Astyanax mexicanus: one gene and its partner. Each later gene encodes a partner of the first gene's protein in a complex. Links are inferred from orthologs where the notes say so. Each region holds a gene or a part of one and is shown on either strand. Other genes may lie near its edges.

What was found. Proteins that work in one complex are often made in the same cells at the same time.
Region 2: the proteins of kcnj4 (region 1) and tax1bp3 are in contact, whole or in part, in a crystal structure (PDB 3GJ9), measured with the Homo sapiens proteins. The link is inferred for Astyanax mexicanus from reciprocal best matches to the Homo sapiens genes KCNJ4 and TAX1BP3. Residues at the interface, in NP_004972.1 of Homo sapiens: Arg440, Arg441, Glu442, Ser443, Ala444, Ile445; in NP_055419.1 of Homo sapiens: Leu27, Ile28, Leu29, Gly30, Phe31, Ser32, Ile33, Gly34, Gly35, Asp38, Gln39, Gln43, Asn44, Thr58, Arg59, His90, Asp91, Arg94, Leu97, Thr98.

What each region holds. Positions count from the first base shown.
Region 1 is NC_064410.1:9,643,024-9,650,652, reverse strand, and holds the start of kcnj4 (ATP-sensitive inward rectifier potassium channel 12), read right to left. Parts: upstream 3,055-7,629; 5' UTR 2,730-3,054; intron 1-2,729. UniProt on the Homo sapiens protein: Inward rectifier potassium channels are characterized by a greater tendency to allow potassium to flow into the cell rather than out of it.
Region 2 is NC_064423.1:19,202,826-19,209,885, forward strand, and holds the start of tax1bp3 (tax1-binding protein 3), read right to left. Parts: upstream 3,056-7,060; 5' UTR 2,931-3,055; coding exon 2,892-2,930; intron 1,932-2,891; coding exon 1,812-1,931; intron 1,498-1,811; coding exon 1,420-1,497; intron 831-1,419; coding exon 690-830; 3' UTR 1-689. Other genes in the region: nr2f6b (nuclear receptor subfamily 2 group F member 6b), read right to left, coding at 6,972-7,060. UniProt on the Homo sapiens protein: May regulate a number of protein-protein interactions by competing for PDZ domain binding sites. Binds CTNNB1 and may thereby act as an inhibitor of the Wnt signaling pathway. Competes with LIN7A for KCNJ4 binding, and thereby promotes KCNJ4 internalization.

The sequences.
Region 1 (7,629 bases):
CACGTGTCACACTCTGCAGCAGTCCACAGCACCTTGAGAACTGTGTGTGTGTGTGTGTGTGTGTGTGTGTGTGTGTGTGTGTGTGAATAAGGCTAAATGCTCTATAATAAGGCTGCAGTGGTGCGTCCGCACTGAGAGCAGTCTGGATGTAAACCGTAGGTGAAGGTGGTGCTGACCGGTACTGTTCAGCTGGAACCAAAACACCAGAACCAGCAGTCAGGTATAACTGTGAGTTACACTGTCAAGCTGGGTGTTTATTATCTCTGTGACTTTCAACTCAAATGAAAAGGGTTCATAAATAAAGATGTATCCCTAAAAAAAACACTGCATCACTAAGTAATACTCCTCTAATTAAATAACCACAGCTAAATACTGACCTGCTCTACTTATATTATATTTAGATTCTTTTATTAATATACATTATGCATTTTACTGCCAATATTATTCAAGCCCAGTTTCAGAAATAGCTGGGACACGGATTAAAATATAAACACAAATCTCATAAACCTATATTTTATTCACAATGAAACCCATCAGAATGAAAAAGGCTAGCAGTCAGTACTTGATGCTCGTGATCTTTAGGCTCTCAGGCAGTACTTCGTTAAAAACAGGCTGTACTGAATATGTATCGAAATTAAGAACTGGGTTTTAGAACACTTCCAGAAATTACTGTTCACCATACAATTCATATATATGCAGGTTATAGCTGTACAGCAGAGAAGTAGCCAAATGTCAACACCATGGCTTTCCTTAATGCAGTGCTGGCTGAGGGCCCAAAGATCACCAGCATGCAATACTGACCATTGCCTATGTACCTTTTAAACAAGGATTTCTCCATATTCTCTGAATCTTTTGATAATATTCAAATGAGCTGTAGATGGTGGGATATCCAAAGTCTTTACAAATTTATATTGAGGAACATTTTTCTAAAACTGTTTCACAAATTTTGGATACATTATTTGTGCAGATTGATGAATCTCTGCCCATTTTTGCTTCTGGGAGAATCTGTCTCTCTATAAGACTCTCTTTATATCCATTCCAGAGTTGGTTGTAAATTGCTTCTATTGCAGTACCACTTACTTTTTCAGACTTTTGTTGCCTTGTCTCAACTGTTTTTAGATGTGTTGCTATAATAAGTTCTAAATGAGTTAAAGTTTTTTTTCATGAAATGGTGAAATGTCTCACTTTCAGCATCTGATATGTGTTCTGCATTCTATTGTTAAAGCTCACCTTCCGCGAAAATCCGATTTTTCTTGTTTTTTGTGGAATACAGTAGGTCTCTCCGAGTTGAATGTGTACACCTGCACATTAAACTGTTTTGCAGCCCCCATTGTCTGCAGGAGCTAAGCAAAGAAATCCCCCCTCCCCCCCTCCGAAAAAGGGGTGAATTTTGAATTATCTTTCTGCCTACGTAGGCAGAAACTCACAGACCAGCCCACCTTGGCTCGAGAAACTCCCAGAGGCGGAGCTGAAGCGACGCAACATCACCGCTCATCAGTTAGGAGGTGGGAGGCAGTGAGCGGCAGAGCGGTGGAGGGGCGTCGCAGTGCTCCTAGCCAATCAGAGGAGAGATATTTGCATGCTGTTTGCATGTATGAATATTCATGAGCAAAGCTGGAATCCGGTCATTTTGGACACACCCCTAAAACAGTCCATTAAAAAAGAGCTATACAGAGACACCTGAGCACTTTTTTTTTACAAAAACGGCTCACATGTCATTCATTCATACTAGAGACCACAACTAGACATTTTAAAATGAAAGAAAAAACGACGGAAGGTGAGCTTTAATAAAATGATGGTCTATAAGATTTACAAATAATTCATATTTCATACAGCATCCCAACCTATTAAGAAATTAACAGACTAAAACTTTCAGAAACATCTAACAAAACAAACACTGCAGTACCACAATAAAGCCTGACTTTATTTATTCAAGTACTTGCATTTTTTATTTTAATAAAACAATGGAGCTTAGGATTTCCATGATTAAAGTGATAAAAATGAAAATGACAAATGATTAGCACAATTCTTACCATAATATTGCTTTATGCTTTTTTTTTATAGTAGATACTTACTAATTTATAGTGGACAGTCAATAAGGTATAGTGGATACTGAACTAATTCATAGTGAATTCTGAATATTTATAGAACCTAATGAGTATTTATAATGGATGTTAATAAATTCATAGTAGTTACTAAATAACGCATAGCAGTTACTGAATAATTAATTGTGAATACTGAAAAATCGATAGTCAATACTGCATTTGCAGTGGAAAAGAAATCATTCATAGTGGATGCTTACTTTATGATAATATATTAAACACATTTTAAAGTTGTCCACCAATGTGAATGACCATTTATACAGTTCAGAGTATTCATGGTTATACAAAGAACCTTTGTTTTTTTTATATATATAAAAACTATAAATAACCCATTAAAAGACTGTACATTTCATGCTGTATGGACTGATACATTTTTTTTTTATTTAAATACAGTTAAAGTGACTTTTTAATCGGAAGTTCTATAGAGGAGGCAGAAGGTTCTCGCGGAGTGAAACGTAAACTCTAATCTGAGCTGGTCTGTATAACTTATATTTACACAAGCTTCCACACCAAATCTGCAGTTCACTGTAGTTCTCATTCACTTCAGCAGATTCACTGTGAACAAACAAACAACAAGAAAACAAACAGACAAACAATCAAACAGACAAACAAACTGCTCCAGCTTACCTGTCCACTCAGGTGAGGTTCAATGAGCAGGTATCCAGTTCAGGTGCTTCAGCTCAGGATTCCATCTCCAGCACATCACACACTCTCCTGAAGCGCTCACTCGCTGTGTGTGTGTCCACGCTCCTGCCCCACGCTAATCTCCACACGCTGCTCTACCGAGAGAGAGAGAGAGAGAGAGAGAGAAAGGAGAGAGAGAGTGAGAGAGAGAGAGAAAGGAGAGAGAGAGTGAGAGAGAGAGAGGGAAATGCTTGTCACTCTGATTACCGCTTGGTGGAGACAGCCTCGGCTCCTGTGTGACTTCTGTCTGAGTTATATACACAGTTTTTACACACACACATACTGTAAACCATGATCTACTGCTTTTATATATTTTCTCTATTGAAATTACAGTAGCTCTACTGAGATCTAGACAATACGTACGTTTATTACCTTAAAAAAAAAAATAAATCACTGCCCCTGTTAGTCAGGGGCCGCTATTTCCACTGTAGGGCTAAATTATTATTTTTCGCACTATAAGGCGCACCAGATTATAAGGCGCCCTATCAATGAATGTTTAATTTTTGGTCTATTTCTATACATAAGGTCTCACCTGCTGAATTAGTTACTTAAAACTAATTTAAGTAAAGCTATGCTAAGTAAACAAAACAGTAATTCCTAAAAAATATATTTTAAAGTCAAACAAGCAATGGATGTTAATCTACACAGATTTCCCTACTGAAAACAAACTCTTTATTTGGGTGAGTAAAGCACTTACGTTTATTTACAGAAAGCATAGATTTCCAGATTTCTAGATTTCCACTAAGCGACTTACCGCTAGAGCAAGCCGCAGTCAGTAAGTAGTAAGTAGTAAATTCCGCCCGACAGCTTTACACTGAGGAACCCTTAGTGTTCTGGTAAGCCTGGGCGATATCAGTTAGAGGTTCTTTTCACATAGCTTGTTTTAACACCGTAAACACGCAGGCTACAGTCCAATATACTCACCTCTGAATGGCGAAAGAGCTAGCGCTTAGCACAGTTAGCAGCTAATGTTAATGCTGCTCCAGCAGTGCTAGCCAGAGTTAGCAGCAGGCTACAGGCCAATAATACTCACCTCTGAAAGGGGAAAGAGCTAGTGTTTAGTGTCGTTAGCGGCTAATGCTAATGCTGCTCCAGTCTTACAATACTTGCATGCTTAGCTGGACTTTATTTGGCATTTAACAGTCATGTTAACATTAATTTTATGTCTGATTTAATGTTACAGATTAACATGAAAACAAAAGTAAGTTCAGAACATTTTACGAAATAGTGTTTCTGTAAGACACTGGCTGGCATGAGAAAGTTGAAGAAGGATGCTGTGCTAATGTTATTTACCCAGACAGATAGTTTAGTGAAGTCTGTAAGGAGGACTATAAGTTAGACGAACTACAAGCTTTTTTTTCTACAGTCACTAAGTTAGTAAGTAATTAACTAGCTAGCAAGCTAACACATGATTTTCTAATACAACAAACTTTTAGCCTTTTAGTAAAACAGCTCAGGGAATCTTGCACTTATTACTACTTTCACCATTAATTCAGGAATGTGTGCAAGGTTAGTTGTTCACACAGGCGCTGCCATTTAAACGCTGCCTTGCTGCCTTGGAATTTACGGTTTAGGAGTGTACCCTTAGCCTCGCTTTCATTTTAACATGAGCGTGGAGTGAATAAGGTGCATAAACTAGCTTAGCTGGCAAGAGAAAAATAAAGCTAGCTAGCACCACAACACACATTGCTAGTCGCACACATATCCAGTAATGTTATTCTTACACCAAACTGATAACACTATCAACTAAATGTCACAAGTTAACAAAATCTATAAAAAAATATTCTATACATATTTTATTTTGGTATTTTACTAGCTAAGAAAAAAACTCCTCTCCAGCATTTCTCTTTTTCAGTGTGGAGTAGCTAGCATTAGCTATGTAGCTAGCAAAGCAGTACCACAGAATGGTGACAAGGAGCCAATAAACGGCAAGTGTAGTGAAAATGAAGTTCACACTTACTGTCAATTATTACAGCTCTACAGACACAAACTGACTGATTACCACTTGACTGACCACTAGCATACATCTAAGCTTAAAGACTTGCAGCCTTCCATAGCTGATTTGGAGTGAGTGCCACCTATTGTTCCCACAAACAACTGCAAATTACAAGAAGAAGCCCACAAATGAGTCTTTAATAAAATTGAATTAATGAAGCTAAATAGCTTAAAATACAAATAAAAAAATAGTTACTATCCACTAGGCCAGAATATTCATTCAATTATTGAAAGCAGAATGATGTATTTCACTAAAAATGCAAAGAAAACCTACCCTTTTTTACGGTTTAGGACAACAAAGACTAGCATTACTGCTACTGTGTGCTGACTGGTTGGTGAATTATGGTCATAGCATGTTTAAAAGGCTTTTACCTGTAGTTTAAAAACTTTTAAAAATTACATTTGCCGTGCTGAAACATTTGATGTTGTTCTGTATTGGGAAAATTGTTAAAATTCATATGTACTTAGAAGCGCCCTCTGGTGATCCAACAAACCCGGAAAAGATTCTTAAAGTGGCACTTAACCCCCTGATTTTTGCTGACTTCAGTCTCAGATACAATTTGAAACAGGCTAAAAAAATGGGAGGGGTAGTTTGGGAGGGGCACTGGGTGATGTATGGGTTTAGAGGGCCGGGCGGGGCAGTATGAAGAGCTGATTGGCTGAGCTGCAGCAGCTGCAGTGTGCCTCTGATAACGATGATACCCAGATGGTTGGACGTTATTATTGATTATCTGATCTACATATTGTGATGTGTCTGTGATGTGTGAAGTACATGGACACATCATCCATGCCTATAGCACAATTGAACGTGAGAGGGCGCCGCAGAGGTGGAAATGACCAAAATAAAAGTGTTTTTTGAAAATTAGGAAAAGTTTATAAAAAAATAAAGCAGGACTGGTATGTTTCATTACTTCAAAGGAACACATTTCAGCTATTAAGAAAAAAGTGGTTTAGGCTTTAGTGGGTATTCTCCTCTCTAGAGATTATCTGGCCTGTTTCTATACACTTCAGTTACAAATCATCTAACCTGTTGTAGCTTTATATGCCTATGTACAGTTATAGAGGATATAAAGATGTGCATTTGTCTGTATTATAATAAAACTTGTATCTGAGTTGGAAATAATGAAAAAATGTGGCATTAACAAAGATAATTTCATTTTCATACTGCTGTTTAAAAATGTAATTCACAAAAGAAATATATTTATCTTACAATTCAGCAATGATGCTTTGCAGATTTACAGTAACGTGCTGTTTGAAGGTTCTACAGAGAGTATTTGTTCAATATACATCAGTAATCCTGTAAAATCTACAGAATGTTGCTACATTGTACCCTTGAGATCCTTTTCTTGTCTTATTCTATTTAAAGCATTCATTTTGGCCCTAAGCCAGTTCACCCACTTCTCCCATATTTTTGTAGGAGTGTAAAAGTTGTTGTGCCAATAAATGTATTTTTAAAGTGAAAGTTTCTGGCTGTCATTGCTGCCCTCTCTGTGTGTCTCTGTGTCAGAATGTGTTAGCTTCCAAACACAGACATCAAAGCCTGTCCTCCCTCTCGCTCTCCCCTCCTGAGGGTCTAACTCTGACCAAGGTTTTTACATAACTCTCCCCTCCGTACAGTGTGCGCATCACACAGCTCTGCTCTGTGTGACACTGCACCCCGCTGAGATCTTCTTTCATCTAAATGTCCATTTATATCTTATCAGGACCCAGATTAACTGTACCCCTTACCCAAACCATTCACTGCCCTGTTACCTGAAGGGATTCCTCAGGGATCAATTCTTGGTCCTCTTTCACTGTCAGTATTTACATGGTACCCTTCATGCAAATCTAAATTCTATTATTCTTTAAACCCCTTGGCTCTTTAAACAGTGAAAGAGCTAGCGCGGTTAGCGGCTAATGCTAATTCTGCTCCAGCAGTGCTAGCCGGGGTTAGCAGCAGGCTACAAGCAGATAATACTCAACTCTGATCGGCAAAGGAGCTAGAGGTTGGCGCAGTTAGCGGCTAATGCTAATGCTGCTCCAGCAGTGCTAGCTGGGGTTAGCAGCAGGCTACAAGCAGATAATACTCACCTCGAAAGAGCTAGCACACTCAAAGGAAAGCGCAGTGACCCAGCTCAGACAAATCAGCTAACAGACGCCTGTGCTGACCGACATTACCTTGAGTGTGATGTTGGAAAAGAGCGCCATCTACCACAAAGAGAGAGAGCAAGGCCAACTGTGCTCTCTGAGACTCTGGATGCTGATGGAAAGCAGTATGATCCAGGATTCTAACAAGTTTTACCCTTCTTTAACAAGCAGTACTATTAGTAGTAGTTGTAGAATGAATCATTCATTGGTCCTCTACCATTAATGTCCACTAGTTTCTTATGGGTTTTGCTGCTTTGAGAAAAGAAAATAAATTATTAAAACCTATGTGATTTCTCATTTTTAACTGCACCATTGTTTAACTATTTAACAAAGAGATTATAAATCATTTTTACAAGCGAGTCATGGACTATCCTGTTTTATTACCTGTAAACTTAGTCATTGGCCTCCTACTACTTACAACATACATTTCCCCCCTTATTTAACTCACGTAGTGCCTCGATTACACAAAGGTGTTTCTCACGGGTTGTTTTTTTTTGGTTCCCTGCAATTTACAATATTCATGTTGCCCCTTATCCAAGTCCTTCGGTGCCCCAGTTCTCCACAAGGTGGTTCAGTTAGCAGTGCTTTGTCCCCTTCAGCTTATATAATTGCCTGTTACCCATTAGATAACAGAAATATTATCTGAGAAAAAACTAAAATGTGTGTAGTGAAGAAGGTAAATGAGACGAGTCTGTATGAGCCGTGCATGATATTATAAGTT
Region 2 (7,060 bases), on another chromosome or scaffold:
GATTTTTTTATTGGAAAAAATAGCTATATTTTTACACAGCCACATGCCAAAATCTATCAAAGACAGTGTAGAAAATCATTGGAATACAGTGTTGATATTTTGTGTCACAAAAAAAAAAACTTTTATGATCTTCTGCTATAGAGAAACAATCATGTTAATTTGGCAGCAATAATTAGGAATTAACAAACAAAACAAGTAGTATATGCATAAGAAAATAAGCATTGTATAAAAATGATAAAGGAAAGAAATTAGTGGTCTTTATGTAGAATTGATACACATGTTCCTTGGCATTACTCAACATCAATCTAAGAAGGAAAAAAAAAGCAAAACAAAAGGCAATGACTGATAAGTGTTTTTAAGTGTAGCTGCATATAGTTCTTGCAAACAATGAATGAATAGGACATCATTTACATATTGACAATCATCTGTACTCACACTGTCACTGTAACACTGCTGCTATATGTAGTAGTTGTTTAGCATTAGTGTTGAACACACAGAACTATTTTTGAAAACATTGAAAATTCACCCCTATGGGGTGTAAAAAATCACCCCAAATCAAATACTCAGTCTGTCTTTGAGATGATGGCTCACTGTTGTTCTTTGGCATTTGGTTGGATTACAGTATATAAAAAAGGACATTCTGTAGTGTGATTATCAAATGACATTCAATGGAGTGTTAGAGATTGCTATTAGTGTGGCATCATGGACTGTCTAACCGCATCCTGCAGAGATTTTCTGGTCACCAGTAGCCTGACTACATCTTCATTCTTTTTTGTTAGCCTTTTACGCGCTTGGTCATGAGTCACCATGGTCATGTCCCAGCCGTTTACCTGTTATAATAAAAAAACATACTGATGATTCAAGAAATTATATTCAGCAATAAGATAACACTATATATAATCACTTAAACATTTCTGTAACAAGAATGTTACAGTTAAAACGTTGTGTGCTATAATGAACAAACAGGTTCTCAACTTTCCAAGTACCATAAACCTTTATAATGTGAACGAATCTTGTCCTTTAAATCATACTGCATCTGAATGTGTGTAGCATTGCAGAAATCAAAGACTATTTCCTTAATGAGGCCAAACTGAATGAGCAAAAACTGACCATATCTAAAAATTCTGCATGCAAGAGCTACTGAATCAACAAAACATAGATAATTTTGTTTAAGAGCTTCAAGTCAAAACGGAAACACAAACAGTAGGTTAATAGCAGCCTCTGGTGGTCAAACTGATCTGAAATAAAAACCACTTTACAGAGCAAAAATAAAACTACTCTTTACCTGTTTTTAAGAGAACATATTTTTCCATGTTAGTATTGTATTTGTAAGAACAAGCCATACCCTAAACATGTGGTGCTAAAATGTCACTGATTATTCAACATTAGTCAACATAAGACATTATTCAGTTGCCCAACCTGCATTATTTTATCTCCCATCATGAGGCCTGCGACCTCTGCTGGACCTCCCTTTGACACCCTTGTGACATAGATGCCCTAAAAAAGCAGAAAATAATATACTTAAACCAAAATAAATTACAATACTTTTAAGTTGTACAACAGTGGTCACCAACCCTGTTCCTGGAGATCTTCAGAGAACTGTCTAATCCTAAATGACCCCATCTGATTCACCATCAGTTAGCTGAATTGACTTTTTTAGAGAAGGAGGGGGTGACCACTTTCAAGGATTTACATACCACTCAGTATATAAGCATTACATTGTATGTCAACTTTATAGAAGAAAAGAGAACAACAGCATGGAAATATATGGGTTTTTTTGCATGACAGCTATAATATCTGAGACGCCTCACCTTGTCTGTCTTGTCTTCTGAGAATGGATTTTGACCTGGGTCTTGATCAATTCCCCCTCCAATGCTAAAACCCAATATTAAATTATCACCGTCTCGTAGTTTTTGAATCTCTATCCTTTGCTGAAACACAAAAGAGGGGTAAAAAAAAAAAAGTTACAGCTTATCTCCAGCACAGTGAAACCAACAACATTAATACCACTCTGCTTGTCCTTATATGGCTATACAGTACTAGCTACCTGTAAGAAATTTACTTAAGCCACACCTAGGCATTACCTGTAATGATGTAATGCTGTACTTATGTTTTAATAAAATGTTTAATTGACTATTAATCCATGGTTTAGCTTCATTGTAAATCTTTATAATTTGTTTTATTCACTAGAAGCGTACGTTTGTCTTTTATTTCATACAAAAAAAAAAAACAGTTCTGGTTCACAGACAGACTCAGCTGTCTATGCATAGCAACTACAGCAAATGCTGATGGATGAAGTGGCTAGCTGTATGTTAGCTAACCTATTCTAGCTAGGCAGCTAACCGAGGCAGTTATTTGATTTATTGCAGGCTAGCTAACTTTTTAACTAAATGAACAACCAGAAACACGTCTCTAATAATATTGAGAGCTTCGTAAAAAAGTACCCACACAGTGAACTAACTCTGAGTAATGTTTGTTAGCTAAACTAGCTACCCGGAACTCTTGTAACACAGAGCGAGCTAATGCTAATGCTGGCTAGGCGGCTAACGTTATTACACGGGGGTACGTTATTTAGCATAGCCAGCGTTAGGTTAGCTTCACTGCAAAGCAACCAAAGTACGTTAACTTTAAATTCCGTAAACGTACGCATTTCCTAATTCACATACAGCAACTACATGATGGTCGTTTACAAAACACGACAAACTGCGCGTTATCTTTGTTTGCAAGTTAAGCTAACTAGTTTCCTTAGTCCAAGGAAAGTCCTCCTCTGTAGTTAGGCTAGCTAAACGCTACAGTAGAGGCGAATGAACAGAGGTGGGCTAGACATTTAACTACCCTATCTGTATCTGAAACCCGGAAACTTTCTCTAGTTTATAATCAAAAGAACTCACCACTACAGCTGTGACAGGCTGTCCCGGTATGAAAGACATATTAAAATGAATGACAGAAGATTTCCTTTCCCTCAACGAGCGAACAATGAACTCTTCTCAGGTTTTTTAGGACCGATGGTCTGCGGTTACACCCATGAATGACAACATGCAGATGACATGCTGGGGGCAGAGCCAGAAAAGGAAAGCTGGAGAAAAGGAGAACTCACTCCTCCTCCTCCTCCTCCTCCTCATTCAGCACTTTCCAAAAGGTTTGTAAAAATACCTTTAGCAAGTTTATATTTAAAATCTGTAATGTTGCATCTGTTTGATTACATCTCTGTGATTATCGCTGTGGCAAAGCACTGGCAAACATTTCAGGTGTTCCAGAAGCATCCAGACGTATAACAGTTATATACAGCTTTGGAAAAAATAAGAGATCACTTAAAAGTTATGAGTTTCTTTGATTTTGCCAAAATGAATCTATGAAATATGATCAAGAGGAAAATGGATGATCACAAGCCATTAAACCAAGCTGAACTGCTTGATTTTTTGCACCAGGAGTGGCATAAAGTTATCCAAAAGCAGTGTGTAAGACTAAAATCTCTGAATCGTTTTGTTATTTCAGCCCATTTTAATTTTCTGCAAATAAATGCTCTAAATGACAATATTTTTATTAGGAATTTGGAAGGAATGTTGCCCGTAGTTAAAATAGCAAAATCAGAGAAACTGATTCAGAAACTGAAGTGGTCTCTAAATATTTTCCAGAGCTGTACATGGGGGGTTTAGTTTGCTGGTACATTGCCTTAAAAGTTTGAGAACTACTGTATTAATTCATCAATGGGTAGAACTGAAGAGAGTGGCCTGTGCGCTGCACAATTGACCCTCCGTTATATTGCTAATCTGGAAACTCAGCTCTTCAGATTTATAAGCTTAACAGCCACGGTGCTCTTTCATTGTTGGGAAGACAAAGCCCCCCTCACACAATCAAGTAAATAAATGCTCAGTACAACAATGGAAGGGCAAAAAGTGACCACACCGCGACCCCAGCTGGTGATGTTTAGCATCACACTATGTTTTAAAGGCCGTGGTAGTGCGACAAATCTTATCAGAGTAATATATAGATCTCATTGCATTTATTTTTTTTGTTCAGAAGTGTTTTGGATTATAATATTGCAGCCACGCCTAGATTTTCTGCAGGAACCTTTTGAAGTTGGAGAAAGCCCTTAAATAATATATATAAATGTTTTTTTTAGAAGGAACTTGTTATCTTAAGGTTCATCAAAGCACCTTAAGGGGTTCCTCCACAGTTTGTAATTGAAAAACCTTAACGAACGTTTAACAGTATGGCTGTAAGAGGAGGCGACGATGTAAATGGTTCTGCTTCTCTGGCATAAATACAGCTCTGGAAAATCTTGCCTTGCCTATAAACTATAGACAACATTTTCTCAAATTCCAACTAAAATATTTTCATTTAGAGCATTTATTTGCAGGAAATGAAAAATGGCTTAAAACTTAAAAACGATGCAAAGGTTTCAGACCTTAAATAATGCCAAGAAAACTTTATGAAGATCATATACTATTTATATAAAGTTTAGAAATCAATATTTGCCTAAAATAACCCGTTTTTTAATCACAGTTTCATGCATCTTGGCATGTTCTCCTCCACCAGTTTTACACACTGCTTTTGGATAACTTTACGCCACTCTTGGTGCCTGGTGCAAACATTTCATCTTCTTCTTGATTATATTCCAGAGGTTTTCAATTTGGTAAAATCAAGGAAACCCATCATTTTTAAATGGTCTCTCTTAAACATATCAATATGAAATTTAGTGATTTCGGTCTGTAGCTGCTCTGAACAAAAGACCTAAAGACACTGAAAGACTATGTATAGCAGGGCCTATATGCGGTTTGTCCAAACACGTGGCCAGCAGGGGGCACAGGGGTATCGCACTTTGGCCTTTCTTTGTGTTTACTGGCCAGCTGCATGATTTTCAGGTCCATGCAGATCCCTGTAGCTGACGAACCACTTTATAGCATTATATTTTACATTTTACCAACTACTACAGCAATTTACACATTTGTGGAAAAACGACTGATTCTGCTGTTCATTGATTTCAGTGATTATTCTGGCACCACTTCACCAACTTCTGTATGCATCTGTTCAGAGAATGGCTTCAGTTTGCACTGCCCTTGTTCTCTAGGGTTTCAGAGCTCCATGTCAGAAATGAGCCAGCAACCATGTGGCTATGTCCAAATCTTTGTGAGAAAAAAATCGAATAAATATATACAGAGATAAGCGCCCCCATACTTAACTGTTAACAGTTCCCAACTGTTAACAATTAAAGGCCTTAGGTTCAAATTATGTCTGCATTTCACTAGACATTGACAATATACTATGGATTTCAGCCGAGCAAAAATTAACAAGTTAAATCATGGCTCATCACATCTCTTTGGTTATTTCATTACACTGCAAAGGGTGATTTCACTGAAAAACAATTCTAGAACAATTCAATTCTTTGATTTTGACATCTTTGCCCATGGCACCATAGCAGTAGATATGTATAACTTGCAAATAAATTGTGAAAACAGTATTAACTCTAAAAATAAATAAAGAATACATTAGTGAAGCGCTGAGTTCATACAACTACATGAACCTCTACTGATTATCTATCTATATATCTTATCTATATTACATTACTTCTACCACCTACATAATATTAAGTAGGTCCCCCTTGTCCCAACACAATCAATCTGACCATTCACGGCATGGACTCCTTGTTCTGGTCCTAAGTTATGAGGTCAGACCTCACATCACCAGAACATACCTGCCTGATGTTTGATGATTTTCTGATCCAGTCATCTAGCCATCAGAATTTGGCTCTTGTCAGAGTGACTCACATTTTCATGTTTGCCGATTTCCTGTTTTAAACACATAATTTCAAGAACTTTGTGCCCAATATATCCATTCCATGACATATGCCACTGTAGATGAAGATGATCAATGAAGATGTTCACCTGTCAGTTGAGCTAATGTTTTGGCTATGTTATTGTATATTTAAATATGTATACTAAAGCGTTCCTCATCGAGTCAGTATCACTTTCATGAATGAAATGACGGCCTCTATTGACAAATGATGCTTCTTGGAATAAGCCTCAAGAAATGTTTAGGGAGATTCATGTTAAACACTCATTTTGTATCTACCTTACTAGTACTTATAATTGCTTACACAAAAAAATGTATGACCCAAACTGTGACTTTTTCCCCTTTTTGTGTAAGATCACAAATGCCATCAACATCATCATCAAATCAAAAAAAAAGTTGTAGCCCAGCCAAAGATCCTCCACAGTGGAGTTTTTGAATGAATATTCTGTCTTTATTATTAGTATGCAAAAATATTGGATATTTTTCATGATTGACAGTATGAAATGTTTGTTTTTTGGACCCAATTATTTAGAGTACACAGAACTATTCCAAAACAATGTGATCATCACAACACATTAATTAACTGATTTTTCAAGTAAGTGGTCAGGCTTCCCAATTTTTTTTTGACATAGCATTGCAGTCCATGACAAAACCTTCATGAGTCTTCATCTAAACTACACTCATTATAATTCATATAGTAATTATTTATAGGGTACCAAGAAATCTCCCGTAATATCTCACGTTTAAAGCTGGACCAACGTCAATCTCACAAACTTGCAGCACCAAGACGTCTCTTCAGGGCTGCCACCCCATCAGTTCATCATGGTTTCTTTTGTTAAAAATCGTGCAATACTTTGTTGATGTTTCTCGTCTGCCGCTGTGCTGATGCACATAAAACATGCCTAAAAAGTCTTGTCTGAAAGTTTTGACGTTGAAGTAAAAAACCTGAGGTATCCCAAACTTGAGTGGCTCGATTAATGCGCCTAAGGACATGTGAGAGCGTACTCACCTTTTCTCCTTCACCATGTACACTAAATGAGCAGAGAGGTGTTGCAGAATATAACACAACATGAACATTCACGCAGCGACTAAGAAATCACGCACTGAGAATCTAGAAAGCCCACACAGAACATGAAAGTCAAGAGTTTAAGTGGGTGACAAGCAGCTCGTCAACTCAATTACTGTCCGGGCACGTAGGGCCAGCTAATTGAGCTGCCTGAGAGCTGCATGTCTCGGATCAGCGTCTCGATGGGCGTCTTTCCAACCA